7 linked regions of the Coturnix japonica genome follow. The protein of the gene in region 1 interacts with the protein of each later gene in a pairwise test. Links are inferred from orthologs where the notes say so. Each region holds a gene or a part of one and is shown on either strand. Other genes may lie near its edges.

The links.
Region 2: the proteins of PPP1CA (region 1) and WBP11 interact in binary tests that used the Homo sapiens proteins (3 or more experiments, as listed by UniProt). The link is inferred for Coturnix japonica from reciprocal best matches to the Homo sapiens genes PPP1CA and WBP11.
Region 3: the proteins of PPP1CA (region 1) and AATK interact in binary tests that used the Homo sapiens proteins (3 or more experiments, as listed by UniProt). The link is inferred for Coturnix japonica from reciprocal best matches to the Homo sapiens genes PPP1CA and AATK.
Region 4: the proteins of PPP1CA (region 1) and PPP1R3B interact in binary tests that used the Homo sapiens proteins (3 or more experiments, as listed by UniProt). The link is inferred for Coturnix japonica from reciprocal best matches to the Homo sapiens genes PPP1CA and PPP1R3B.
Region 5: the proteins of PPP1CA (region 1) and PHACTR3 interact in a two-hybrid assay, tested with the Homo sapiens proteins (2 studies listed by BioGRID and IntAct). The link is inferred for Coturnix japonica from reciprocal best matches to the Homo sapiens genes PPP1CA and PHACTR3.
Region 6: the proteins of PPP1CA (region 1) and SH3RF2 interact in binary tests that used the Homo sapiens proteins (3 or more experiments, as listed by UniProt). The link is inferred for Coturnix japonica from reciprocal best matches to the Homo sapiens genes PPP1CA and SH3RF2.
Region 7: the proteins of PPP1CA (region 1) and CSRNP2 interact in binary tests that used the Homo sapiens proteins (3 or more experiments, as listed by UniProt). The link is inferred for Coturnix japonica from reciprocal best matches to the Homo sapiens genes PPP1CA and CSRNP2.

What each region holds. Positions count from the first base shown.
Region 1 is NC_029520.1:170,044-174,019, reverse strand, and holds PPP1CA (serine/threonine-protein phosphatase PP1-alpha catalytic subunit), read left to right. Parts: upstream 1-1,176; 5' UTR 1,177-1,326; coding exon 1,327-1,486; intron 1,487-1,879; coding exon 1,880-2,011; intron 2,012-2,091; coding exon 2,092-2,322; intron 2,323-2,716; coding exon 2,717-2,821; intron 2,822-2,894; coding exon 2,895-3,118; intron 3,119-3,289; coding exon 3,290-3,424; intron 3,425-3,506; coding exon 3,507-3,617; 3' UTR 3,618-3,805; downstream 3,806-3,976. Other genes in the region: cell cycle checkpoint control protein RAD9A, read right to left, coding at 3,881-3,976. UniProt on the Homo sapiens protein: Protein phosphatase that associates with over 200 regulatory proteins to form highly specific holoenzymes which dephosphorylate hundreds of biological targets.
Region 2 is NC_029516.1:43,750,990-43,754,489, forward strand, and holds the end of WBP11 (WW domain-binding protein 11), read left to right. Parts: intron 1-344; coding exon 345-653; intron 654-1,267; coding exon 1,268-1,450; intron 1,451-2,141; coding exon 2,142-2,575; 3' UTR 2,576-3,265; downstream 3,266-3,500. UniProt on the Homo sapiens protein: Activates pre-mRNA splicing. May inhibit PP1 phosphatase activity.
Region 3 is NC_029533.1:5,062,921-5,066,420, reverse strand, and holds part of AATK (serine/threonine-protein kinase LMTK1), read left to right. Parts: coding exon 1-100; intron 101-494; coding exon 495-582; intron 583-706; coding exon 707-840; intron 841-1,490; coding exon 1,491-1,575; intron 1,576-2,031; coding exon 2,032-2,171; intron 2,172-2,272; coding exon 2,273-2,422; intron 2,423-2,516; coding exon 2,517-3,500. UniProt on the Homo sapiens protein: May be involved in neuronal differentiation.
Region 4 is NC_029519.1:44,186,802-44,191,026, reverse strand, and holds the start of PPP1R3B (protein phosphatase 1 regulatory subunit 3B), read left to right. Parts: upstream 1-1,425; 5' UTR 1,426-1,498; coding exon 1,499-1,512; intron 1,513-3,001; coding exon 3,002-3,893; 3' UTR 3,894-4,225. UniProt on the Homo sapiens protein: Acts as a glycogen-targeting subunit for phosphatase PP1. Facilitates interaction of the PP1 with enzymes of the glycogen metabolism and regulates its activity.
Region 5 is NC_029535.1:5,949,616-5,953,691, forward strand, and holds the start of PHACTR3 (phosphatase and actin regulator 3), read left to right. Parts: upstream 1-1,276; 5' UTR 1,277-1,964; coding exon 1,965-2,073; intron 2,074-4,076.
Region 6 is NC_029528.1:484,795-488,894, forward strand, and holds the start of SH3RF2 (E3 ubiquitin-protein ligase SH3RF2), read right to left. Parts: upstream 2,801-4,100; 5' UTR 2,715-2,800; intron 2,569-2,714; exon of another isoform or gene 2,348-2,568; intron 2,338-2,347; exon of another isoform or gene 2,239-2,337; 5' UTR 2,160-2,238; coding exon 1,788-2,159; intron 1-1,787. UniProt on the Homo sapiens protein: Has E3 ubiquitin-protein ligase activity. Acts as an anti-apoptotic regulator of the JNK pathway by ubiquitinating and promoting the degradation of SH3RF1, a scaffold protein that is required for pro-apoptotic JNK activation.
Region 7 is NC_029544.1:1,405,370-1,409,415, forward strand, and holds the start of CSRNP2 (cysteine/serine-rich nuclear protein 2), read left to right. Parts: upstream 1-1,246; 5' UTR 1,247-1,380; intron 1,381-3,426; 5' UTR 3,427-3,441; coding exon 3,442-3,592; intron 3,593-4,008; coding exon 4,009-4,046. UniProt on the Homo sapiens protein: Binds to the consensus sequence 5'-AGAGTG-3' and has transcriptional activator activity. May play a role in apoptosis.

The sequences.
Region 1 (3,976 bases):
GCGGGCGTCGGGAGGCTGCGAGAGACGGGAGAGGGGTCGCGGTGAGCAGGGCGCAGCCCGCACCGTCGGCCCCACTGGTACCGCGCCGTGCCACCGTGCTCCCGGAGGGACACTGAGGCGTGCGGCCACACGGCCCCACCGGGAAGAGCCGTGCCCCGCAGTCACGCGTGGCCGCTGGCAGTGGGGCGGCCCCGTGCCCGGGCTTAGCGGCACAGAGCCCTATTGTCCCCGGCTTCCACCCGCCCGTCCCCGGCGCCGCTCGGTGCCGCCCCGCACGTCCCCCGGCTTAGCGCAACGGCTGCCCGCGATTTCACCGCCGGACACGCGCAGCACGGCGCACGCCAACACCCTCGGACACGCGTGGAGCGGGCGCCGCCTGCACCCACCGGCGGTCGCTGTCGCTTTCGGGCGGTCGTGGCGGCGGTGCCCGCGGAGCCGTGCCCGTTCTGCACCGGCGGCGGAGGCGCCTTCGGTGGCAGAAGGGCGTCCCCGGGGGAGGGCGCGGGGCGGGGCGGGGAAGGGGGGGAGAGAGGGAATGGGGGGTGTGCGGGGTGTGCGGGCACCAGGATTCAGGGGTGCGGGGTATCAGGTGTGGGGTGTGAGGGAACTATGGGGCGTGGAGACAAGGATGCGAGGGCATGAGAACATCTGGGGCGTATGGGGAAATGGAGATGGGGAACGAGGGAGCACGGGGAGAAGGATCTGTGGGGTTACGGGGATCCGGGGACACGGGGATTTGGGAATACGAGGCACGGGGACGTAGCGACGGGTAAATCGGAGGATACGGAGATAAGGGAAGATACGGGAAAAGGGGGATCTGAGAGTGGGGGACGTGGTGACAGAGCAACGTCGGGGTGGGGACGGGTAGATCGGAGGAGCCGGGGCACGGAGACACGGGATGTGAGCACACCGCGACGTGGGGCCGCACGGATCGGGGGACACGGGGAGGCGGGACACGAGCAGCGGGACACGCAGCCGGCAGCGGAGCGGGGACAGTTGCCGGGGTCGTTCGGGGACAGCGGCGCAGCTGACACCGCGGGGCTGAAATGTCACCGGTGTCACCGCGGGCAACGGGCCAGGCTGTGCCGGCACCGCGCGGCTCGTACTGCACGTGGGGGCGGCACGGCGGCACGAGGGGCACAAGTGAGGCGGGTGGAGCCGGTGGCAGCACCGTGTCTCTCGGCACACGTCCCCGCGGGGCTCCCCACGCGCCGCGAGGCTGACAACGGCAACAGCCGCCGGGCAACCGGCCGGCACGGGGAACGACACGGCGCCGCCTCGTGGGAGCGCGCAGCCCCCACGCGCCTCCGCGGCCTCCCATCCGCCATGGGGCGCTCTCGCCACCCGCCGCTCGCCCCGGCCGCTCTCTATGGCCGCGGGGCCGGGACCGGGGCGGGCCAGGGCGGGGGGGGGAAGCAGCGTCCGGCGGCCATGGCGGATACCGAGAAGCTCAACCTCGACTCCATCATCGGCCGCCTCCTGGAGGGTGAGCGATGGGCCTAGTGCTCCCGGACCGCCTCGGGAGCCGCTAGGGGAGGGAAGGACCGGCGCTGTGCCGCCAAGGAGGGGCTGGAGAACGGGGCTGCGGGCCGGGGCCTGCGGGGAAACGGGGGCCGTGCGAGGCTCTGGGGGTCCAACTGTGGGGCTGTGGGGCAGCGGGGGGTATCGGGGCAGCGGGGGGCCGGGGGGAGCCGGGCGGTGGGAGCCGCTGGGGGCTGTGGGAATGAGGGGGGCTGCGGGCGATCGGGGCGGATGGGGGGTGGCTGCAGAGGGCCGGGGGCACCGGGAGGGCCGTGCGTTAGTGCGGGACTGTTAGGGCACGGCGGCTCTGCGGGCTCCGGGGGTGGAGTGGGCTCTGCTGAAAGCCACCCCCGCACAGTGCAAGGCTCACGGCCTGGGAAGAACGTGCAGCTGACAGAGAACGAGATCCGGGGGCTGTGCCTGAAGTCACGGGAGATATTCCTGAGCCAGCCCATCCTGCTGGAGCTCGAGGCTCCGCTCAAGATCTGCGGTGAGCGACGAGCCGGGGGGAGGGGAAGGGGGCGGGCTGGGAGCCAGCGTCACCGCGTGTCCCCCGCGATCTTCTTACAGGCGACATCCATGGACAATACTATGACTTGCTTCGGCTCTTTGAATATGGAGGCTTTCCACCAGAGAGCAACTACCTATTCCTTGGTGACTATGTTGACAGAGGAAAGCAGTCTTTAGAAACAATTTGTCTTCTATTGGCCTACAAAATTAAATACCCGGAGAACTTTTTCCTGCTGCGTGGCAACCACGAATGTGCCAGCATCAACCGCATCTACGGCTTCTATGATGAGTGTGAGTGCTGCACCGGCCCCACTACTGACAAACGGGACTGCCTTGTCACCTCACTGCCAACCCCATATGATACAGCCAGCCCAAAGTCCCCCCTTCCATCCCCATTTGCAGCTCTTCCCATCTCCTGCAGACCTTATGTTCATCCCAGCTACTTTCTCCTGCAGACCTTATGCCCCCATCCCAGCCATCTCCTCCTGCAGACCTTATGCCCCATCCCAGCTACCTCCTCCTGCAGACCTCATACCCCCATCCCAGCCACCTCCACGGCCACCCCCCCAGCCCCCTGGAGGGTTCAGTGCTGCCCTGTGTGTGTTGTGATACACCAGAGGGTGGGGAGGGTGGAACATGGCCCACATGAAGGGCTCCTGTGAGCACCCACCCCGCTGCCTCACAGGCAAGCGGCGATACAACATCAAGCTGTGGAAAACCTTCACCGATTGTTTTAACTGTTTACCAATTGCAGCAATTGTGGATGAGAAGATATTCTGCTGTCACGGAGGTGGGCACAGGGCTGGGGGCTGCCGCCTGGGTCCAAAGGCCGCCACACAGCATAACCTGACACTCCTGTGCAGGGCTGTCTCCTGACTTGCAGTCGATGGAACAGATCCGGCGCATCATGCGACCCACGGACGTACCCGACCAGGGCCTGCTGTGTGATCTCCTGTGGTCTGACCCTGACAAAGATGTCTTAGGATGGGGTGAAAATGACAGAGGAGTGTCCTTCACCTTTGGGGCCGAGGTGGTGGCCAAGTTCCTGCACAAGCATGACCTCGATCTCATCTGCAGGGCACACCAGGTAATGGGGTCGGGCCTCACCTGGGCTCCATAACGGTGGAGCTTTTCCCAGGAGGGGCCATTTGCTCTTGAGGATGTGGTTGGGCTCTTTTGAAGGGGATGCTGCCCCCTGGGGGAGTTGGTGGGCTCTATGGACAGAGAACAGGGAGATATGAGTGCTGCTGCCCCACAGGTGGTGGAGGACGGCTACGAGTTCTTTGCCAAACGCCAGCTTGTCACCCTCTTCTCTGCACCCAACTACTGCGGGGAGTTTGACAACGCAGGAGCCATGATGAGTGTGGACGAGACCCTCATGTGCTCCTTCCAAGTGAGCTGGGGCTTTGCCGGGGAGGGGGCAGCACACAGGGCTCTGCCTGCAGCCCCTTCACTCACCCTTCACTTCCTTGCAGATTCTGAAACCAGCAGACAAGAACAAGGGCAAGTACGGGCAGTTCAGTGGGCTGAACCCTGCTGGCCGCCCCGTCACCCCACCACGCAACTCTGCCAAAGCCAAGAAGTGAGTGTCCACCGCCAGCAGCCCCAGCACCAGGTCGCTCCTTTCTCCATTCGTTTTTTTATTTGTCAGATCCTGCCCTTGCCGCTTTCTACTGTACCAAATGTACCCTCTGGGGCAGGACCCGCCCCTCAGTTGGCAGTGAAGGCAGGGCAGGAGGCTTTTTTTGGGGAATAAACTTGTAATGGGTCTTAAGATGTGGCTTTAGGATCACACCCTACGTGGCCAGGCAGTGCCAGCTGCTGCGCCATGGCATCGCAATGGGGGCTCTCAGCATTCGGCATCGCTGTCCTCTGCCAGCACCTCCTGGCTGGGGGCTGGGCCAGGCCCCCCCGGTGTCAGCACGGAGCCAAAAAACAACGAGCG
Region 2 (3,500 bases), on another chromosome or scaffold:
TTGGGGTGGAGGGGAGAGGAGAAAGGAAGCTGGGAGAAGATGGGTTTCTTGGAAGTGGTGGTTATGTCTATTTTGGGGAATAAATAATCTGTGATATTTTCTATTTTAAAAGTTTTATCTCCCACAAACTCAAATAACTGCAGTTCAGATTTATTAATAGAAGTTTTAGTTCCCACAGGAAAGCAGAACTATCTAGTTGTTTTTTTTTTTTGCATTTTGTGTATATTAATTAGTATAATCAGTTTTCATTCCTTTGAGGGGAATTTCTTTTCATTCTTATTTAGTGTTTTATGTTGCCAAATTTATTACTTGTGGACTGATTTTATTAACGTGTCTGTTTCCAGGTCAGGAAATCCCAGAAGAAGGGAGGGAAGTGGAAGAATATTCAGAAGAAGAGGAGGAGGATGAAGAAGACTCAGAGTCTGAAGACACATCGCAACAGCAGCAGCAGCAGCAGCAACATAGTGAGGAAGCTCTTGCAGAGACTGGGTCGTCTACTGCAGCCTCAACACAGCAGCAATCTTCGCAAGCCGTTGCTTCAAGTCAGATACAGGCACCTCCTATGCCTGGGCCACCTCCACTAGGACCACCTCCAGCCCCTCCATTGAGGCCCCCAGGGCCACCCACTGGCCTCCCTCCTGGCCCTCCACCAGGTGAATATTTGATTTGTTTTGTTTTGAAGAATGCAGGCTCTCAGTACTACAGATGGTTTATCAGTGTCAGGGTTATGAAGCTGCGGAGCATTTTAGACATTAAGTACAGAAGACCAGTGTGGTATTTGCTGAGACCTGTGAGGTTTCTTCCATGGTCAGTGTGGTTTTCGTAACGTCTTCCAACAGTTTTGTTTCTGACATCCCCTAGAAGGGGAACCTCAAACCTCAAAGCAGCTATTTTCAGTAGAGTGAAATTACTTTATACATTTCAGGCCAGAAGAACAGCATGAAAAGACTGAAATACTTTCATTTCTAGCTATTTAAGTTCAGATAACCCTAGTTTATTAGCCATTCTCAACTGTTGATTCAATACATGGGGAAAAGCCTTCTCCCAAGATGGAGAAAATGTTTGTATTTTAATATAACCAAGAAGCTTTCTTGGTTCTACAACTGTTGTCTCTTCCTGAGACTTTGTAGAAGATCTGTTTAATCTGACAGCTGGCTACTTTGAAAATATCTCTGAAGCTTCTGTTGAAAATCTTCACTATTAGCAGGTGGGATTGTTCTTTTATCCATGAACTGAAGTTTTAAATCTCTTATGTGTATGCTTTCAGGAGCTCCTCCTTTCCTGAGACCTCCTGGTTTACCAGGACTGCGTGGGCCTTTACCTCGACTTCTACCACCAGGTCCCCCACCTGGGAGACCCCCAGGCCCTCCCCCCGGTCCCCCACCTGGTCTGCCCCCAGGCCCTCCTCCTCGTGGGCCCCCTCCTCGCTTGCCACCTCCTGCCCCACCAGGTAAAGTACTCGGAGCCAAGTCTTTCCCTACTTTGTCTTCCCAGTTCTCTGTAATCGTTGTTGTGGTGACCAAGTCAGTATATCTAATTGGAGAATCAGATATTCCTTTAGACGTTAAATAGTTCCCTACTACCAGATTGCCTTTGTCCTAGTATGTGCAGCTAAAGGTACGCCCTTAGGTTCTTTCCGGTTGATCCTTTTTGCCATTTCTTTTTATGTATTATAACAAATAATTCCATATCGCTATGTGTATTTTGGTAGTAAGAGATCTGGCACCTATAATAAGTAATTTCAGTGTTTAAATTTGTGCTGCATTGTTTCTAAATAGGTGATAGTGTGTTGGGACTTTTTTTGTTTTGCTGAATAGTCACGTGTTTTTGATTTTGAAATTCCAGTGGGATAAATCTTCAAGGAAGCTTTTCGCTTTTTAACTTTGAAAGTGGAAAGGGAGCAATATACAGGTTCTTGTGGCTTTCCAAGTCTGCTGAGCAGTTTTCTTGTCCTAATACATCTTCTACCTTCTTGTCGGGAGCTATCTACTGGTGCAATGCTTCTCCCTGTTTCCCTTTCTCTTAAGCCAGAGCCTCTGCATTTTGTTGACAGTTTTTGGCTGAGATTTTGCATTATTTTTGTCAAAGACTTTTAGCAATTCCAGATAAAGTCAGCTCACCTTTTTTCTTCTTCTTTCCAGGTATCCCTCCTCCTCGCCCGGGCATGTTGCGGCCACCTCTGGTGCCTCCATTAGGACCTGCCCCGCCTGGGCTTTATCCACCAGCTCCTCTTCCAAACCCGGGTGTTCTGAGTGCCCCACCCAGCTTGATTCAGCGTCCCAAGGCGGATGACACCAGTGCTGCCACTATTGAGAAGAAGGCTACGGCTACTATCAGTGCCAAGCCACAGATCACTAACCCCAAGGCAGAAATCACTCGCTTTGTGCCCACTGCCTTGCGAGTGCGTAGGGAGAATAAAGGGGCATTGGCTGCCTCCCAGAGAAAACAAGATGATGAGCCTGCTCTCCCATTAACCAAAGCTGCCCCTAAGGCTGGATCGTCTGCCCCTATCTCTGTACAGACAAAGGATGATGTGTATGAAGCCTTCATGAAGGAAATGGAAGGTCTTCTCTGACCTGTCCCAATCAGCTTTCCTGCCCTCTGAGCACAGATCAGGCCACCACAGAGGAAGAGGGAAAGGTCTTTCTGCCAGCAATGGAAGGGCTCATATGACAGGGAATGGTTCCCTACCCATGGGTTAACTTGCCAGTACGATCTGAATAGAGGCTGCTGCAGGTGAGGTGCAGCCAGGTACTTCCTTTCAGAGCTCGCATGTCCACTTGGAGCAAGGGAATTACAGTCAGTAAGGCAACGCTGCTTCCCTTGAGTCCTCCCACTTCCTTGGAGGAGGTGACGGTGATCTGTGGAGGGGGTGTAGGAGCTGTGGCTGTCTTTGCTCTTCCCGAATCCTTTCACATCCTGAATGCTCTGGTGAGGGTAGTGGAGCCAATTTTTAAGGAGCCAGAAAAACATTAGCAGCATTTCATACACACATGGTTTTATTTTCTGTACTGTTCCTTTCTGTAAATATTTTATAATCCTGTTGTTTTTGTTTTTTTTTTTGTTTTTTTTTGTTTTTTGTTTTTTTTAGTTGCAGTGAGATCAATCATCTTTATTCCGGGTAGTCAGGGCGGTCATTTGTTGCGTATACTGTACACTGGAATTTGGCACCCTGTCCCCTTAACCGTCATCTTGATGGCTTTTCATTGGCAGGGGAACCTTCATTTTGTCTTGTGAAAGACAATAAATATTCAGTGTATCAAAATACTGGCTTCCTTGTGATATATATAAATCTAGGATACAAATGGAAAATGAGATGGTTCTCATTTTCTAGTATTAAAAAATATATATGTTTTACTTGCAATGTAGCTTTAGTTCTGTAAATTATACTGACAGAGTCAATCATAGAATCATAGAATTACCCAGGTTGGAAAAAACCTCGAAGATCATCAAGTCCAACTGCAGCCTCACCATAGTACCCTAATTCTAACAACCCTCTG
Region 3 (3,500 bases), on another chromosome or scaffold:
ACTCGGGCATCAGCAGCACGCAGGTGGTGGTGAAGGAGCTGAAGGCCAGCGCCAGCGTGCAGGACCAGATGCAGTTCCTGGAGGAAGCACAGCCCTACAGGTAGGGCCAGGGGTGCTCCTGAGCTGAGACAAGCTGCTGGGAGGGGGGGGTGCTTGCGGATGGAGCCTGTCCCCATGCTGTGGGCTGGCCCCTCTGTGCCACATTTGGCTGAGCTCTCTGGGCTGCAGCTCAGCTCTGTTTTGGGGCTTGCTGCCTGCAGGACGCTGCTGGTGTCCGGCCTGGGCTGCAGTGAGGTCATGAGTATGGTGGGGGGAGGCACAGAGCTGCTCCATGCCCCATGAGAGCCAGACAAATGTCCCTTTGTGGTGTACACTGGGGTGCTGGGACGTGCTGGTACCCGCTTACAGCCATTCCCAGCTGCCCCCGCGCTGTGGAGGAGGCACCAGGGATGCTCCCCCCATGGTGCCAGCATGCCCCTCACTCTGCCCTGCAGGGCCCTCCAGCACACCAACCTGCTGCAGTGCCTGGCCCAGTGCGCCGAGGTCACCCCTTACCTGCTGGTGATGGAGTTCTGCCCGCTGGTGAGTGCCATAGCCGGTGTTGTGGGGTGGTACGTGGCACTGCTGTGCCATGCTTACTGCATTTTGGCCCTGGGACATGCTGGGTGTGAGAGGGGACTGTGGTCACAGTGCTACTGTCCTGCAGGGTGACTTGAAGGGATACCTGAGGAGCTGCCGGGGGGCTGACTCCATGGCCCCAGACCCACTCACTCTGCAGAGGATGGCGTGTGAGGTGGCCTGCGGTGTGCTGCACCTGCACAGGAACAACTACATCCACAGGTAGGGCTGGGCGGTGCGGTGGGGGGGAAGGGGGGCATGTGCTAAGCAACCCCCAGGCTGTACCCGCCCCACCTTGCTCCTCCTGCCCAACAATATCCTGGTGCTGAGTGAGTTGCACACAGAGACTCCAGCATCAGTGATTTTGTTGAGGAAGGGGAGCGCTGCATCGGGGCCACCGGACCTTCCCAGCTTGGCTGCTTGGAAGCATTGCAGTGGGAGGAAGGTGGGGGGAGGGCAGTGCTGGAGAGGGGTTTCCCTTGGGCATCCTTGGTGCACCCAGGGTTGTCCCCACATGCATCCACACTGTCCTGATGTGCAGCCCATCTGTGTGCACCCCTCCGGGGCTATGGGAGCCTGCCTTCATGGCTAAGAAGTGCCAGGGCTCACGTTGCTGGGGAAACCTGCTTTCCGCTTGGCTCAGCGCGTGACGGATGGACGGATGGACAGAGGCGCAGCTGGAACGCTGTGCAGGAATTCCTGCTGTGCATTGGGTGGCTGCTGATCGGCACACCCAGCGTTCTGCTGTCACACAACCCTTCCACTCCCTGCACTGGCAGCAGTGCTGCTGGGGCTGCCCAAGTGCAGTTCCCGGGCCCTGGGTGCCTTGTGCCCCCCATGGGGTAGTGACAGCACTGGGGTTTGCTTGGCAGCGACCTGGCCCTGCGGAACTGCCTACTCACCGCTGACCTGACCGTCAAGATTGGGGACTACGGGCTCTCACACTGCAAGTACAAAGTAAGGCTGGTTAGGGTGAGGAGGGGGTTGTGCTTGGGACCCCCTGAGTTGGGGTGGGGGGGGGCTCAGGGGTGTTCTGTGCATGCTTATGGCTTTGCCTGTAGCTCTCTGTACACACACACCCCCAAACACCCCCCTCTTTCCCTTCCCTTCCCTTCCCTTCCCCCCTTTCCCTTCCCTTCCCCTTCCCTTCCCCCTTCCCTTCCTTCCTTTCCTTCCCTTCCCTTCCCTTCCCTTCCCTTCCCTTCCCTTCCCTTCCCTTCCCTTCCCTTCCCTTCCCCATGGGCTTTTCTAGAGCACTGAGTGGGTACTGGGAGGAGGTGTGAGCCTGGAGGAGCAGCACGATGGGGCTGGGGCCGTGGGGTGGCGGTGCAGTGGGGCTGGGGAGCATGGTGGCAGCAGGTGGTGGTGTGCCCTGTCCTTTACGTGTTGTTTTGACGTTCTCTTCTCGTACTGACCCTGCATACTTGGCAGGACGACTACTTTGTGACGGCCGACCAGCTGTGGGTGCCGCTGCGCTGGATTGCGCCCGAGCTCATCGACGAGGTGCATGGCAACCTGCTTGTTGTGGACCAGACCAAGGCCAGCAACGTCTGGTGAGCAGGGTGGGGGTCATGGAGGGTGTGTGGTGTCTGGATGCCAGCCGGTTGCGGGCTGGGGGTCTCTCTGTGCCCCCAGTATCACGCCACTCCTGCAGGTCGCTGGGTGTCACCATCTGGGAGCTGTTTGAGCTGGGCAGTCAGCCCTACGACCACTACTCCGACCGGCAGGTGCTTGCCTACGCCATCAAGGAGCAGCAGCTGAAGCTGCCCAAGCCCCAGCTGAAGTTGTCGCTGGCGGAGCGCTGGTGAGGAACTCTCCCCATCCCCCTGCGGGTGCACAGCCACTGCTCTGGCATAGGAGTGGGCACGGTGCTGAGCCCTGCTCCTTGTCGCCACCAGGTATGAAGTGATGCAGTTCTGCTGGCTGCAGCCTGAGCAGCGCCCAACAGCTGAGGAGGTGCATCTGCTGCTCTCCTACCTCTGTGCCAAGGGTGCAACGGAGGCGGAGGAGGAGTTCGAGAAGCGCTGGAACTCCATGAAACCCAACGGCGGTGCCAGTGGCAGCCACCACGGCACTGAGCTGTCCTCCTTCCCTCTACTGGAGCACTTCTCAGCTGACGGCTTCCCCTCGGACGGGGACGACATCCTCACCGTGATGGAGACCAGCCACGGCCTCAACTTTGAGTACAAGTGGGAGCACACCAAGACCGAGCACTTCCAGGCACCCCTGGGCTCCCTCAGCCCCAGCAGTGCTGCACGTTACCATGAACTCTATTACCCAGCGACATCCGCGGGGCACCTGAGCCTGGGGGTCTCACCCTCCTGCTATGAATGCAAGCAGTCCGGCTGCCCCAGCCTTCCACCACCCAGCATGGTGCCCATCCTGGGCGCACACAGCCCCTCGCTTGGCAGTGAGTACTACATCCGCATCGAGGGCCCGGCCGAGGGCAGCGCTGAGATGGACTACGCCATGTGCTCCTACAGCCCTGAGGGTGAGCGTGGCTCTGCGTCCTGCTGGAGAACCCAAGGTGCACGGGATGACTCGGACAGCAGCCCCACGGCGTCACTGAGCATGGAGCCACTGCTGGGCCACGTGCCGGCGGGTGAGGGCTCGTGGGAGTGTGCCGAGTACTACCCCTACACGGGGCAGGAGCAGCACGGCTATGTGCCATCTCCTGGCCCCGAGCGGTTCCTGCTGGACGAGGAGCACGCTGAGCCCAGTGACAAGGACTGGCCTGTGCCCAGCTTCCAGCACAGCGTCTTTGCCGACCCACTGGGCGTCTCGCCTTCATTGAACTGCACCTACAGCCCCCAGCACTACAGGCAGCCACCAGCACAGGGTGAAACCCATCCGGACTGTGTGGCACTGGAGCTGGGTGACGA
Region 4 (4,225 bases), on another chromosome or scaffold:
GGTGGAAAGCTATGGGGAAATCAGTAAGACCACTGTGCAAGGGCTCAGTGCAAAGCTAAATATAGCCATTATCTCTGCTCCCAAAAGATAAGAGCCTGTGTCCACAGCCCGCCACAATGCCCTGCCCTGGCTTCCACCTACCTTTGCTTCAGAGGCAAACAGTAGGCAGCAGTTGTGAAGCAATTCGCCCTGCACAAGGCAAACAGAGCTTCTATCACGCGACAGAAATGCACCCTGAGCCACCGTGCTGAGCCAGGCTGCGGTAGCGCTGCCTGGAGATGGCTGTGCAGACCCAAGGGCCTTTTGGGGCCTCTGTCCATTGCTCTTGGGCAAATCCTTGCTACCCCGCATCCCTGCACAAACCTTGTCGCCAATCAGCCCTGCTGAAATTCCACACTGCCGCTGGCATGTAAAATACTGATCCACATCTCCAAGGGACCTGCAGTAGATTTCTCTCCCCAGCTTCCTTATCATTGCCTTTATCTAAAAGCAGGAACCTATGAGGCTAAAACAATGGTCTTTCCCCCCAACACAACCCTTTTGCATCGCTTTGCATCGCGGAGCAGCGAGTTGATTAAGCAGCAGCTTTACAGCAGGAAGTCTCTGGGTTTAACAATAGCCATGCCTGCTTCCACCGGCTAATTAAAAACAAATGTTGACTCTTCAATACCGCTTTTATGCTCTGGGAGGGAGGCGGGAGAGCAGCACTGCTCACATTGGTGTGCTCGGAGGCCAACAAGAGGCTGTTACTCCCAGCCTTGTCACCATTCCCAGCTCCCAGGAGGCGAGGAGGAGGTGTCGCCGCTGGAGCATTGAGTTGCCTTGGGATGGGCTTCTGCCGGCCGCTTGGCTCCCGCAGGTGGTTGTTCATAACACTGTCATTGTAAGAGACGACTTTCTCGTGTCTGTGAGAAGCTCAGTTTTTCCACTCCGTGCCCTAAATCTTGTCAGGAAATGCGATTTGGGAACGTCTCCTGGCATTTCTGCCCCAGAGCTTCAGCTATGGGACGGAAAGTGTGAGTAACCCTCGTTCCTCACCCCACCCCACCCCACCCCTCAGTGCAAACCGAACACCTTATTGAGGACAGCAGCCCCCTGAGAAGGCCTCGGGGCATTCCTGTCACCTTTGGCTGCTCGTTGCTGGCAAAACCCCCCGGGGTTGCACCAGTTTCATACCAGAGAGGCTCACAACGCCTGCTCAGGCACAGGAAATTCCCTCAGGAGACCCCAGGCATCCAGCTGGCTTTTAGAAACCCCCAATGCTCGCCCCAAACACCCCCCCCCCCCCCCCAACCCACCCCAGCGAGCGCAGCCCCCCACCCGGCTGGGTACGACACATCCAGCCCCATCGCCGCAGAGGAGGAGGGTTCCATTGAGGAGGACGGCACCCATTGGTCAGGCGGCAGGGAGGGAGGGGCGGGCGGTGCCTTTAAGGGTCCGCTGTGGGGCCACCCTGTTAGAGGTGGTGGTTCGGGGTTGGGGCTGTGTGAGCGGGCTCATGCGCTGCGTCAGGTACGGGCTGTATGGGGGACGGGGCTGTGTCACGGGGGGTATCCTGTAGGGGTCGTGGGGGTAACCAGGTCTGTGCTGTGGGAGTTGCTTGATACGGGGTTGGGCTCAGTTGGAGGGGGGGTGGTGAGTGGAATGCAGCCTTCCCCTTCTGAAAGGGGTGGTCCTGCTCGCTCCCTTTCCTCTGGTTTTCAAGTTGGATGTGCTTCAAGTCGTGCAAAGCAGGCAGGATGCTCCTGGCCTCTTAACGTTAAATGCTGGTTGTTACTGAGGCTTACAGAAGTACCTGAGCGCTGAATGGGAGATCAGGTGTATGGCTGCTGCTGGGAGGGGGTGCAGGTGAAGTTGTCCTTGGTTTGTTTGAAAGGAGGAAATGAGCTGTATGACATATGTGAGAAAGCCAGTGAAACCAGGAAGAGCTGAACGGCTTGGTGCTGGCAGACAGGTGGATCCGCTGTCTGTCCTTGTGCAGGTGCCCTTGAGCTTCAAAGAAGGCTTAAAGAAGAAATGCAGGAGGTAGCTGGTGTTAGGAAGCAAACCTTTGTCTATGCCTTTTAACGTAAGCAAGTGCTGCTGCTGAAGGGATGCTATGGAGGGCTGCCCTGTTGGTGCTGCAGGGTGGGAAAGTAAAGCACAGACTTGGAGAGAGCAGCTCTGTTGCTTTGTCTTGGCACAGGGACAGCTATCAAGTCCTATAGCTGGCTGTGTGTGGCTTTGGCAGCACGAGCCCTTGTGCGGTCAGCTGCTGCTGCTCTAGCAGTGAGACCGGCTTTGGAACATGGTCTGCAGCCAAACAGGGAATTTAATTAAGGAAGTAGCCTGCCTTCAAGATATGGGTGCACAGAGGGACTGTGCTGTGTCACTGGGAGCTGGATGCTAGAGGAGGAGATGCTGTGGTGGAGAGACACGCAATCTGTGCCTCTGAGGGGAGGGCTTATTTCCAAAGCCTCTGTCAGCCTTGAGTACATCACACAGCTTGCCTGCTCTAGCTACACTGATGTTTCTTTAAGTGTTTTGTAGGCTTAAGGTGTGCATTCTGCGTGGAGGAGGAACCTTCTGGCTGCCTGATACCTGTTTTAAAGTGCGAAGTGGGAAGAAAGTTGCTCTTCTATAAGTGTAAAGTGAGAATCAGTAGGACCAAGTAGCCACAGATCTTTGGTTTAAGTCAGAGGTGTTCCAGAGCCTGCTATTGCAAGCCTAAAAGGGTGATGACTGCATGTGCCTTAGCATGGTGACTTTGTAGCAAGCAATGGGAAGTTGTCTTGCCCTTGAGGGGATGTAACAGGCTATGGCTGAGCCACAGCACTGTGGTAGCACGCTTCCCAACATATCTGTAAGTCAAGCAAGTACTGGCCTCTGACAGAGCTTGAGGGACTTTGGGGGTGATGGAAACTGAGCTTCTTTAGGATGGATGGGGAATAGTGTAGCAACTATCTGACAAGTCACTGAAATGCTTCTCTGACATAAACTGCTCCTTCTTTTGATCTTTCAGTGTAATAGACTATTTTCCTCACAAACAAGCAATGGCTGTGGATGTAGCAATGCAGCTGTACCTGTGCTCCTCACCCTTGCGAAGAGAGAGGTGTGCCTGCAAAATTGCCCCAAAGCCAAACAAGCCATTGCGGCCGTGCATCCAGCTGAACAGCAAGGCAGTACTGACTGGACCAGAAGAGGCAGAAAACTCCTTCACACACAACAAGGTGAAGAAGAAGGTGTCGTTTGCGGATAGCAGAGGCTTTGCTCTGACAATGGTGAAGGTGTTCTCAGAGTTCGATGATCCTCTAGATATTCCTTTCAACATCACCGAGCTGATCGACAACATTGTGAGTCTGACAACAGTAGAGAGGGACAGCTTTGTCCTGGACTTTGTCCAGCCCTCTGCAGACTACCTGGACTTCAGAAACCGTCTTCAGACAGACTGCGTGTGCCTTGAAAACTGTATGTTAAAGGAGCGCTCTGTTGTGGGCACAGTGAAAGTGAGGAATCTGGCTTTTGAAAAGTCCGTGAGGATCAGGATGACATTTGACACCTGGAAAAACTTTGTAGATTTCCCGTGCCAATATGTCAAGGATACGTACGGAGGATCAGATCGGGACACTTTTTCTTTCGACATCAGCTTGCCCGATGGAATTCAATCCCATGAAAGAGTTGAGTTTGCCGTCTCCTTTGAGTGCAATGGCAAGGTGTACTGGGACAGCAACAGGGGCACAAATTACAGAATCATACGCTCAGAACTGAAGTCTGCCCAGGAAGCCCTCCGCCCCCCGTGCAGCCCAGACTTCAGCAGTGCCTTTGACCAGTTTGGGAGTCCTCGGTGCGCCTATGGTCTGTTTGCCGAGTGGCCAAGCTATTCAGGATACGAAAAGCTAGGGCCCTATTACTGACATAAGGACCTAATGTTCTGACTGACTGTTGGTGGTGCCTGCAGACGTGGGAGTCTTCCTAAACACGAGGTGTGTGGAAAGGTGGAAGAAGTGAGGCTCCCTGTAGCACTGCATAAGCCTCCCAGCAAAAAGAAAAGTGCAGTACTCTGCTGGCAGTTGGCTTATAATCAGGGGTGCATCTCTAATGCAGAGGGCTGCCTTCCCTGTCTCAAGTCAGATAGCAGACTCTCCAGATGATCAAAAGAAAAGGAGATGTCGCTTGCCTGTCTGTTCAGTGCTGCTACTCCTTCCTCTTCTGTAAAGCTGCTAGTCTCCAGGGATACACTACAGTG
Region 5 (4,076 bases), on another chromosome or scaffold:
TTCAACAAAGTTAAAGCAGCAAGGCAGATTCTAGACTTGTTTGGCTCATTTCGACATGACTACATTTTAGGATTCAAAGGGACCCCATGAAGTGCCCTCTACAGAGGCAATCAGAACTTGCTTAAAAACACCACTGTGTGCTTTTCTATAGGGCACAGTGCTACTTTGAAAGGTTGAAAATGCTTTAATATATTCATCCTGCACTAATGCCAAAACCTGATATGAGACTTTTAAACTACATATTTTATATAAGAAATGAGTGCAATGCTTCTTTGCAGAAGGTGGGCGTATCGATTAATACAGACCGAATTTCACAGAACCATCCACATTTTCTAAAATGACCTTAGAGTTACATAAGGAAAAAGAGAAAAACAGACATTTTTTCTATTATTTTCAGGAATAGAAGAGGGTTTGGTTTGTTATTTCACTATAAAGGGAATATTTCTAGATGAAAAACTGGATGCAGGGCGTATATCACACTGTGCTATCCAGATGCACAGAAATATCTGTTTGTTGTCAGTCATTTTCAGAGTTCCTGACTCCTTTTCAGTGTTGAATCACGGTAACTCAAAAGTTTGGCTATCAGGGCAAAAGGGTATAAATGAATTCCAGTATCTTTAAAGCCTCCCTTAAACAAAGCATTCAAGTCTTATCTGTTTATTTGGCTCCTTGGGAACTTAGATTGTGATATAAATGGCTCATTTAGCCGTCCTTTGGGAATTAAGATGAGCCACTTAACTCAAAAGGCTTGGAAGAAATTACAGTAACTGACACTGAAAATGTGTCAAGATGGCAATAGTAAGCTCTCAGAAAAGTACAGATTACCCTTACTATCTTAATTCACTCCATCACATTATGATGCAGCTTTGATTAAAAACTCCATATTCTCCTACTTGTTTTGGGTGTGTCTTAATCAAAGCCAGAGGGGACAGCACACAAAATGACGGACTTTAATTGTTAAGAACCACAAACTGCCTCATTGGCCTCTGCTTTCAGAGATGGCCAAAACACATTTCCTTTGTATAAAAACAAACATAAGATGCTATTTATGTTTCTACAGAGCCAAAAAATGTGAGTGAACAAATGACTGCATCAATGGAAAACGCTCTGGTACAAAGTTTCATCCTTAAAACCTGGCAGACGGACCCGTGGGGCAGTGGGAGGCTGGACCGAAAGGGGATTTATCACACTCGGCTATTTTAACAGGAGAGACAACGCCATATAACCCAATTAGGGGCGGTGCCAGCACAGCGCTCAAAACCCACCTGGTGTTACGGGTCGAAACTCACGTGTAATCACAGCAGGGAGGACCGTTCAGCAGAAGGATCACCCCAAAGCACCTTCATCCTTTCCGACCAAGCTCCCATCCCGAACTACAACAGGCTCAACGTAGCTCATCCTGGGGGTCACTCACGACTTCGCAGCCCCCTCTACCGGGCGGGGCGGAGCCCCCCGTGAATCACATGCTTCTGGGAGAGGGCGGAGCTTCGATGCTGCTTACACCTGCGGTGTCCTCCTCCTTTGTGCAGTGCAGGTGCGGCACCTCACACCCCCTTGGCGTGACATCACGCTGCCGCTCGCTGGGCACGATGGGAGAATCCCGATGTTTTCCGACGGATGCTCTGAGCGGCGCGGCGAATTAAGGCGGCTCCGGGAGCGACACGCGGGGGCTGCGGGGCTCCGGACGGACGGACGGCTGGCTCACAGCTCTGCTCTCACCCAGCCCTGCGGGTGGCATGGCGCACACACCCCCTGAAGAGGCCGCAGCCGTCCTCTGAGCGCCTCGGTGCCGGTGGAGGGCCCCGCCGCATCCTACCGACGGCGCCGGGAAGATGCTGCCGCTGTTGGCGCTGCCCGGCTGACTCCTCGCCGCCGCGCCCCCGTCCCCATTGTCCCCCCGGCGGCCGCCGGCTCCATGAGCGCCTCCTCCTGCCCCCGCCTCTGAGCTTCCCTCCCGCCGCCTCATGGCTGCATCGGAAGAAGGGCCCGGCTGCTTTCTCCCGCGAGGCAGATCGCAGAGTGACCCCAGCATCCTCACCGAGCCCGCTGGCCCCGGGGCCGGGGAACACGCAGGTAACGGCCCCGCGCTCCGGGCAGTGCCGGGGTGGGCGGGGGGCGCGTCGCGATCCGCCTCCACTTTGCAGCCCTCTGAGAAGCGGGCAGACTCTCGCTGCAACGGGCTCCGATTCGGTGTCGGGGCTCGGCAGAGCCCTGCGCTCGCAGCTCCCATCCGGAGGCGCGGCTGGAGGTTACCGGGGCTCTGCGGGGAGCGCCGCACCTGGGCTGCCCCGAGAGCGTGGGGCGGGGGGGGGGTAGTAGGGGCTCCCAGCGCAGAAGGGAGTGGGCTGTTTGCGTGCCATCGCCATGGAGACAAGAGGCAGCGGGGTCGCAATTAAGCGCTTTCTCCCCTTAAGAAGGTAATTTTCACTTCATGGGGAGAAGTGTAATCTTCTTACCAAGTGTGGCCACAGAGGGTGGTGCCTGGGGGGGACACGGTTGAAATACCAGCAAATAAACGGAATATTCTGATTAGATCTATGTATTTTTCCCCCTTTAACACTGGCTAATGATGTTTTTAGCTTAACTCCACTTTGAGGAATGATTCTAAATGTCTGTTGGCGGTGAGTCAGTAATTGCAGATGTCAGCACCTAAGCAATGACGACCCCTTTAGAGGAAAAAGAAACAAATAACCGCATCACTTCAATGTGATGTGATCGCAAAGAAAGGCCCAACAATAAGCTGGGAGCAAAGGCAAAGAGCCAGTTTATTCTGGGTTTATGTAAGGAGACAATAATGCAAGCCCTGTAAGAGAAAAGGAGTAATGAAAATAGCACAAGACAATGAATGGACTGTTGATACTCCCTGCCCATTACACTGAATTCTAAACCCAGAAATAGGTTTGGGGTTTGAGTCAGGCAGTGTCAGCCTAAAGAGGTAGTCCAAAACTGCATTTGGGGACTAAAATCTAGTTCTGGTTTATTTCAAATTACTGAATGAATAAAACATTCCAGTCTCTTTTTGGTACACCTGCCACACTGTTCCCTTCTGGTCCAACGTGTATATTAATACATTCATATTTGTAACTATTTTAAGTTTTCTCACTTATTGGTTTTATCAAGTAATCCTAAGCACCTTGGTCTAGAATGAAATACAAATTAAATTAAGCAAAACAATAGATGATTTGTCTCTAATGCCCAACAGTTCCAATTCCTTAAGTAAAGGGAACAAAGGACTCTAACATGAACTGCTCCACTCACTCCCAAAGGGGCAATCTTGACTGAAAGGAATGTATGCTTCTACCATTTGATTTCTGAGAGCAGAAGTGACTAATGAAAGGATTATATATTCAGTCTCACTTTTAATTCCCCTATGTTGTTTTCTGCTAGGCAATTACTTGGATCTTTGTGAAATATACAACAAAGAAAGTATACAACATGTCTGACACACAGACAAAGATATTTATATTCAAGTTGGTTTTGTGTGCGGAGAAAGAACTATCAATACTAAGAAAGCATTTTTCCTCCTCTAAAACAGACTTTATCTGGTAGGACAGTGTCCCATTGCATGACAGAAGCTATAGTAACATGCAAGAAAATATGGCTTTTAAGGTATTATAATAGATATACAGTATGTGGAAAGAAATAAAAGGTGCTAAATACATATGGGTTTAGTCTTTGTGAGTAAAAATAATTAGTGGTAGAGTTGCATGTTCAATGAGCTTTTTCAGGTTTGCTATATACTGCTTAAATTTGTTTATCAAATAATATTGAACATCTGCATGTTCCCACCTGATAATAAAACAAATATTTTACTCTTATTCTGAGTAATCACGCAAAAGCCTGAAATCTAGTTTATACTGCTGTAAGAATGATGTGTGGTTTAGCATTTAATGGATTTTATCTTACAATGTTATTCTGAAATATTGTCATTCTCATTGTATGATCAGAATAATCATCTATGGACTCTTCAGTCAAAAGCCTTAAGTAAAACTAGGAGTATTAGGAGTGCTGAAAGGTACCTGAAGGGTACCAAGTTTGTGTTTACATCCCAGTCCTGCTCACAGACTTGCCTATTA
Region 6 (4,100 bases), on another chromosome or scaffold:
GTGATTTCTCAGTTCCACGGAGTAAAGGAAGTTTATTTATAGATGGTCTTTTTTGTAAAACAAAATGTGTCTTCTATCCTGCCTTGACGGTGCACCAGGCTGCAGTGCAGCACGGTGTGTGCTAATTTTATTTGCTCTGTAGCATGAAGTGGTGCACATCCCAACGGCAATCAGCAGCCTGCAGGTGGAGGTGGTCCTTCTCTGGGGACCCTACCACCACCCAGCGCAGGGAGCATTGCACCATGAGCAGCAGGAGAGCAGCTGTGGAGGAGCAGGATGCAGAGAGCTGTTCTCTGGGCTCCCAAATTAGAGCAAGCACTTGTTTGGGGGCGGCCGTCCTGTGGGAGCCCAGAATCACAACTGCAGGAAGCCCTGCAGCAATCTCAGCACTACCTGAGCAACTGCTGGATGGCTGCGGCCATGGGGTGGTGGGGACAGCCACGTTCCTGGGGACTGAGCACTGAGCACTGCTTGGGATCTGCCTGTGAGTGGGGCACTTCATGGCTGACAGTGAGCACTTTTGCCCCTGCTTTGGGATGTTGGTAATGGGGTCATTCCAGGAGTGTTAGCAAAGCCTTGAGGATGCTGGAGGAAAAGGAAATCAGCCCAGTTCTAACTTTTTCACAGAAGTGATCTAAAAATAATCGTGAGCCCAGATTTCTGCTTTGGAAGAGCAGTGCTTGTTAAATAATGATGATAATAATAATAGTAAAAGTAGTAGTAATAGAAGCACTACGGGGCTTCTGCTGCCTTCGCCAAGCAGGGAGCTGCCACTGAGCAATGCCCACAGCAGTCCCTGACCATCCCGAGCACAGGTAAAGGAATGTGCAAGGGGTGAGAGATGAAAGCTGTGTGCTGCACACCCTGTGTCCAGCTGCCCTCCATCTGAGGCATTTCGGGGCCGTGCTGGATGTTTCCCTGCAGGAAACCCCAGCCCATAAGCTCCAATGGTTGGCTTGGAGGCAGGATGACCCTCTTGTGGCCCTGAGGCCCCTGGCTGTGCACCATCCCCTACTGCACAGAGCTCACAGCCGGACAGCAGTATGGGGCCTCCACGGCACAGCAGAGACAGATCTACTGCGAGTCTGTCCATGTCTGCAAGGCTGAGGTGTGCCCTGGGCTGATCAGAGACACGACACTGAGTAGTGCAGGTGGAAGAAAAGGAAATTCAGTAATATGAGCCCCAATTGAGGCAGAGGCAGGCTCCCTCTCATGCCACATCCTAATTATTTCAAAAAAGCTTTTGTACTGTTAGAGAAAATGACAGGAACAGCTTACAGCTTTAAAATTAGCCAAGGAAAGCATCCCTAGATGAAAGTAGAGTTCAGTATCTTTCATCACTGAATCTCAAGGCGTTTTGCTAGGGGCAGAAATATCCTTCCTCTGTAATTCTGAGGAAACTGAGGTGCATTTCTCCATCTCTGATAGTTACAGCCCTGCAGTGACCCATCTGATGGCTATCACAACCAGTGAACCTCCTGAAAGTTAAAGCATCAGAAATGACTCCTGAGAGTCAGGAGGGACCAGAAAGCTTCAGAGAAAAGCAGCAAAGTTTGTATAAAGAGGAAGGCAAACTGCATTTGTCTGAGCCTGGGGCTCAGTGCAGTTACTACTACGGTGAGCTCCAGAGAAATATCACAAGGAAAACAGCAGCCAGATTTGCAAACAAAAGAACAATCTCTCTTACTCCAAACATCTGTGCAGCATTACTGGCATGGCGGTTTGGCACTCCCGGCACACAGGGACAGAGCTGTGTGCTCACAGTGACGAGCGCGGGCGCTGCTTACCCCATCCGTGAGGCTCCTGGGGGCGGTGGGCAGCCGGTGCTGGGCAAGCTGCAGACCTCGCGGGGCCCTGCGGATGCAGGCAGGGGAGGACAGGAGCCCTGAGCGCTGAATGGAGCCAAAGCGGGGTGCATTCTGCCCGTACCTGACACCATCCAGCAGGCGGATGAGCAGCAGGTTGGCTGGCAGCTGCTCGATGCCGCAGAGGACGAGTGTCCTGCACTCAGGGCACCGGAGCTCCTTCTGGGACTTGAGGATCCTCTGCAGACAGGGCTTGCAGAACGTGTGCTGGCACGGCAGTACCTTGGCTGTGGCATCGAGCTTTTCGAAGCACACCGGGCACTCCAGCAGGTCGAGCAGAGCCAGGTCATCCATCGTCAGCTGAGCTGCCGTCACGGCTCTGCTTGAGACGTCCACATAGCACGGACACAGGCTCTGGGCTGCGGTAGGCACCCTGTGCCGAAGGGAGGAGGAATCAGAGCAGAGCTCGGCTGCTGGAGCCTGTACCGCATCCCACCTACATGGCAAGGCAGCGCCTCACGAGCCCGTTTGCAAATACCTACTTTGCACTCCCATCCAAGCTGCGGTGAGTCAGTACTGATTCAGGAGCGAGGGGGCCGTGCCCAGCAGCCCCGCATGGCACCGTGCAGTGGGGCAGGGCGGGCACCGTCCCTGCAGCACCCCATGGAGCTCCCAGAGCTCCTGTTCTGTTCTGTGGGCATCTGGTGGCACAGCACAGAGAGGGCGCAGCCAGCACAGCTCGGTAAGATCAACCTGAGCTGTTTACTCCCAGCTCCAGCTCCAAGCAGCCCCTCACACACCCATGCACCGCCTCGCTCCCAAGATCAGTCCTAATTAAGCTCTCTGCCTACCGGTTTTGACAGCAGCTCTATAAAAAGCCCTCCAAACACAACTATCATCCTGTTTTACCTTAGAGGGCCGTGGGGAGCTCTGTGCCGACGTCCTCACCAGCCAGGCTGCCTCAGCTCCCACAGCCCAGCAAGATTATTCCTCCCACAGCACGAAGTCACTCAACCCGTTTGGCTCCTTCGGGGCTGTGCTGGCTGTGCTCGGGCAGGCGGCTCTGGGCTCAAGTCACAGCTTGTGGGAGAGCAGCACCTTCCGTGTGCTGGCCAGGTAAGAGCAGTGCCGCCTGTGCCGAAACCTCCCCCAGAGATGGTGTGTGAACATGGATGTTTGGGGAGTGTGAGCTTCCCACCGCTGGGGCTCACCCTGCCTTGGTCATGGGGTGCCCATGGCCATGAACACCCTCACACACAGCTGGGCCAGGGCTGGGCACCAGCAGTGCTGCTCCCAGGCTCTGAGCTGCGGATGCTTGAGCAGACCAGGAGTGCTGCTGGGGATGGCAGAAGCCAGCATCATGCTGCCTGAGCATCATGGCTCTGTGTCCCATCATGAGTCCCCGTAGTGGCTCCAGCAGCCCCAGCCGTGTCCACATCCTCCCAGCACAGTGATAGGTTGGTGATGCTGAGGGTGCTGCTGCCTGCAGCACTGTGACACTCACACCATCCTCCAAACACTGGGTCACCTCCACCCTCACCATCCCAGCACGGCTTCCATAGGGGCTGTGAGGGGTGGGAGGGTGCAGTTCTATGAGATCTACTTTGCACAGCTCCATTTCTGGGCAGGCCGGGCCCATTGGGCACACTGCACCCACAGGCTTTGGCTCAGAGGGATTTGCCATCTGGCTGGGAGCTCCATGTGCAGCACCAACCGCTGCAGCAGGGATGGCCGCAATCTCAACTGTGTGTTTGCAGCCAGTGAGTTGGAGGAAAGGACTGTAGACCCAAAGGGTTTATTTCTGTTTGGTGCTTTTACACACAGTGCAGTGGTGTTGAGAGTGCAGGACATTTCAGCTCTCTGGGGAGGGCTATTTCCAGCAGCATTCAGCAGCCACAGTAGATGTGCTCCTTTCAATATCTGTTCCCCACAGAGTGATTTTGGTGGAGAAACTTTTAGTTTTAAATGGTGGCCATTTGGCTGAATTAAACACTGACATCTTCAGGATAATGCACAGAAACAATTACTTCACTCTGTTTCATCTCAGGTCTCCATTTACCTTGGTATTTCTTTGTAGTCTGTCATATGTTTGATTGGCGCTTGGCTGACAGTGCACGCTTTGTAATGAATGACGTTGAGATCAACATCATGTGTTGGGCTGCTGCTTTAGAATGCAGCGTGTGACATGAGCCGCACTGAGAACAGGTTTGGAAGTTTGTTTTTTGTCGTGTTCTTTTTTTTTTTTTTTGTTTTTTACATATTCTTTTCTATTTCTGTGCTGCAGTTCATACACAC
Region 7 (4,046 bases), on another chromosome or scaffold:
AGCTGCAAAGCACCCATGGGTGCTGCTACTGCTGGCTCAATGGGCAGAGTTCAGCTCTGGGACCTCAAAGCTGCACGAGGGTTTTTCCTGGCTCCGTTTTACCAGCAGCTCCTGTGACGTTCAGGCTGGTGAGAGGACATGAAGGAAACCAGCCCGGTGCTGCCGGCCCCGTGGGGCTGAGCGGGTCTCAATCACACACACGGGGTGGTGGGAGAGGCCTGGCAGGGATTCCCTGCAGCACTTTGGCTGTGATGGAAGTTGGGCTGTTGGGCTTTTTCTCCTTTCCTCCACCATGGAAGCGCTGTTGGGACCCGCAGGGATCACCCAGCCCAACTCCCCACAGGACTCACCCAAAGGGGGGGCAGTTTGCTGCATGTTTTTGTGGTTTCAAGTGAAAGGGAGAAAAATCCCCCATTCCTGGGCTGGAAACCTGGAGATGGACCAGAGCACTGAGCTCATGGCTGCAATTGTGTCCTGCCCCAGCTCTGCAGATGGAAATGGGGGGAAATGGGGTGAGTTTGGGACTCAGCCTCAATGGGACATTCAACTCAACTCAATGGGATGCTCAGCTCGATTCAATGGGACAGTCAGCTCAATGGGACACTGAGCTCAGTGGGATGCTCAGCTCTATGGGACACTCAGCTCAATGCAATGGGATGCTCAGTGGGACCCTGAGCTCAGCTCTATGGGATGCGTTGCTCTATGGGATGCTCATCTCATCTCAATGGGACATTGATGTCAATGTGACGCTCAGCTCACTGGTCTCAATGTGCCACTCACCTCGGAGCTGTTCTCAGCCCAATTCAAGGTTCGGTTCGGCCCAATGCAGCCGCCCCCCCCCGCCTCCGTGTGATCCCCAGCTCGGCCCAATGGCGGTTCGGCTGCAGAGAGGACCCGGTTCGGTTCTGCAGATGGACTCATTGCGTTCAATGGGGCTCAGCTCGGTTCGGTTCGGCCCAGCGGTACCGCAGCTCGTTGTGCAGGATGTGGATCCGCTCCAGTCGGTACCGGGGGGTTCGGGCGGTACCGGGGTCGGTACCGGGGGTTCGGGTCCCATCCCGCTGTGTAACGGAGCCGGGTCCGGTAAAGTTTTGTACGGACTCTGTAGCTGTGAATGGGGCTGGGATGGGGGGGGGGGGGGGGTGTCTCCCACTTCCGCACTCCATTCCCGCCCCTCCCGGACTCGCTTTCCCGTCACCCCTCGCGGGTGGGGGGTAGGGGGCGGAGCTTGATGTCACGTGACTAGCGGTATATAAGGCGCGGCCCCATTGTTGTCGGCAGACGGCGGCGGGGCGGGCCGCGCGGCCGCGACCGGGCCGAGAAACGGAGACACGGGCCGCCCCCCGCCGAACCGGGACCGAACCGGGACCGAGGGGAGACGTGAGTGGGGGGGTGTGGGGTCTATAGGAGGTCTATAGGGGGTCTATAGGGGATGGGGGCTCTGAAGGTGGGAGGCTCTGGGGCTGAGGGGGGTCCATAAGGGATAAAGGGGGGGGGCTGGAAATGGGAGCCTATAGATGTATAGGGTGACGGCCTTAAAGATGGATATAAGGATATAAGGGATGACGGCCTTGAGGATGGACGGGTGTAGGCGGCCCTATAGGGGTGGGATATGGGAGCCTATGGCCTATAGGAGGTCTATAGGAGGTGAGGACATTAAGGATGGGGGCTATAGGGGATGGGGGGGGTGTATAGGGGCTGTAGGGAGCCTGTAGGGGTTGGGGGGGCTGGAAGATGGGAGCTGATAGAGGACATAGGGGGTGTATGAGGAGTGTGGGCCTTAAGGATGGAGGGGTGGTGGGGATGGAGGCCTATAGGGGCCTATGGGGGATGGGCCTGGAGAATGGGGGCTTATAGGGGCTGTAAGAGGTGAGGGCCCTAATGATGGAGGGATGTAGGAGATGAAGGCCGTGAAGGTGGAGGCCTGTAGGAAACCTATAGGGGTTGGAGCCTTGAGAACAGGGAGGATGTAGAGACTATAAGGAGCCTATAGGGTGTGTATGGAGGCTTATAGGTCACGTAGGAGACCTTAAATATAGAAGCATGTAAGGGATGGGGGGGGGTTACAGTTGGGGTGGGCTGAAGATGGAACGATAGAAGCAATAGGAGCCCCCCCCCCACCTTCAGAGCTGCCCCTTTTTCCACTCCTGCTTTTTGGGGGCTGCCCTTTCTTATCCCTTCCCCTTTTAGGACCCCCTTCCTTTTGGGGACCCCTCCTTTAGTCTCCAGCTTTTTAGTGTTCCCCTGTTTTTTATCCCCAGCTTTCTAGGACCCCCCCCCCCCCACATTTTACTGCCCCCTGCTTTTGGGGGCTGCATTGTCCCCCCCGCCTGCCAGCAGCCCTGCACTGCTGCTCATTGCAACGCATGTTGTGTAAGTGCTGCTGCTGTGTGAGCTGCAGCCTGGAACATCCACAGGGCTCAGCTGTGGGATCCCCTGATCCCAAAGAGGAGATCCCCGATCCCAAGGAGGGATCCAGTCTGCCCTAAACTGGGGAGCCCAGTGCTCCAATGGGGCCACCCCAGTGCAGAGCAGAGTGGGGAGCTGCTTCAGGCCTCCAGGGCACAGTGCTGGTTTGTGATCACCCCATAGCCGACCACTGGTCAACTCTTGGTTAACCAGTTGGCTTCCATTGGCCTTCATGGCCACCAGGACACCCTGCTGGCTTCTGCTCAGCTCTTGGTCAACCAGTGGCCAACTGTGGGTTAACCAGGTTAACCAGGTCAACCAGGACACCACCAGGACCAAGGGCTCTCGTTATGGGAGAGGTGCTGGTTGTGTCCCCCCCCCCCGGCCTTGTGTTACACCTGGATGGGAGCAGCAGCGTGAGGAGGAGCTCGGGGAGATGAGGGGTGGGTGGGATGGTGGAGGGATGGATGGATAGAGGGGTGGGTAAGGGATGGGTGGGATGGTGGAGGGATGGAGGGATGGATGGATGGATGGATTGATGGGCAGATTAATGGGTGGACAGAAGGGTGGACAGAAGGGATGGTGGAGGGATGGACGGACAGGAGGATGAATGGATGGCAGCTGGATGATGGCGGGGTGTACAGAGTCGGGTGATGGACAGACAGACGGATGCTGATGCTGACAGCTTCCTCCGGAGCCGTTTGTTCTGTTGCCATGAGAACCGTCGCTGCTGCAGTGATGGAGCAGAGCAGAGCGGGGCTGAGCAGCTTCAGCTCTGCCCATGTCCCTGTCCCCAAATCCCCCCACCCAGCCCCCCCAGGCACAGCCCTGTTGCCGGCTGAGCTCTGCTGTGTGCTGAGGACACCCCACACTTGGGGGTTTGGGTGCAGGAGATGCAGAGCTCAGTGGGGAAGGCGGCTTTGCACATTGCTACACCATGGGCCCAGCTCTGCCAATGGTGTTGGTCCAGTTATGGGGACCCCCCAGACACCCCCCACCACCATCCCCATCCTGCAGGTCCCCGCTGACCCCATGGATGCCATCGGCAGCGGCCGCCTCAAGAGGAAGTTTGAGGATGCAGACGTGGGCTCCCCGGCGTCCAACTCCGACGATGAGATCTCCAACAGCGACAGCGCCGACAGCTGCGACAGCGTCAACCCTTCCAGCTCCAGCGGCTTCATCCGTGAGCGGGGGGACATGGGGATGGGGGGGGACACGGAGATGGGGAACGTGAGGATACGGGGTCGGAGGACACGGGGGGGGGAGGGATGGGAAGGGGGGTGGGCACAGGGACAGTGAGGGGACAGGAGTGAGGATGGGGACAGCAAACAGTGGTAGAGCCAAAAGGATGAGGATGGGGACATGGGATGGGGGTAAGATGTGGGTACAGCAAATGGTGATGGGGGGAGGACAGGGTTTAGGGACAGGAAAGAGTGTGAAAGTGAAGGGGCCGGGACATGGGGACAGCAAAGAGTGACCAAGTGAGGGGATGGGGGTGGGACATGGAGACAGTGAGAGAGTGAGGGGACAGGGCAGGAAGGGGTGACAGTGAGGGGAGGCAGTGGGGCTCCCGATCCCATCCCTCCTCCCTCCCCGCAGCCACCTCCATCCTGAAGAGGCAGAAGCAGCTGCGCAGG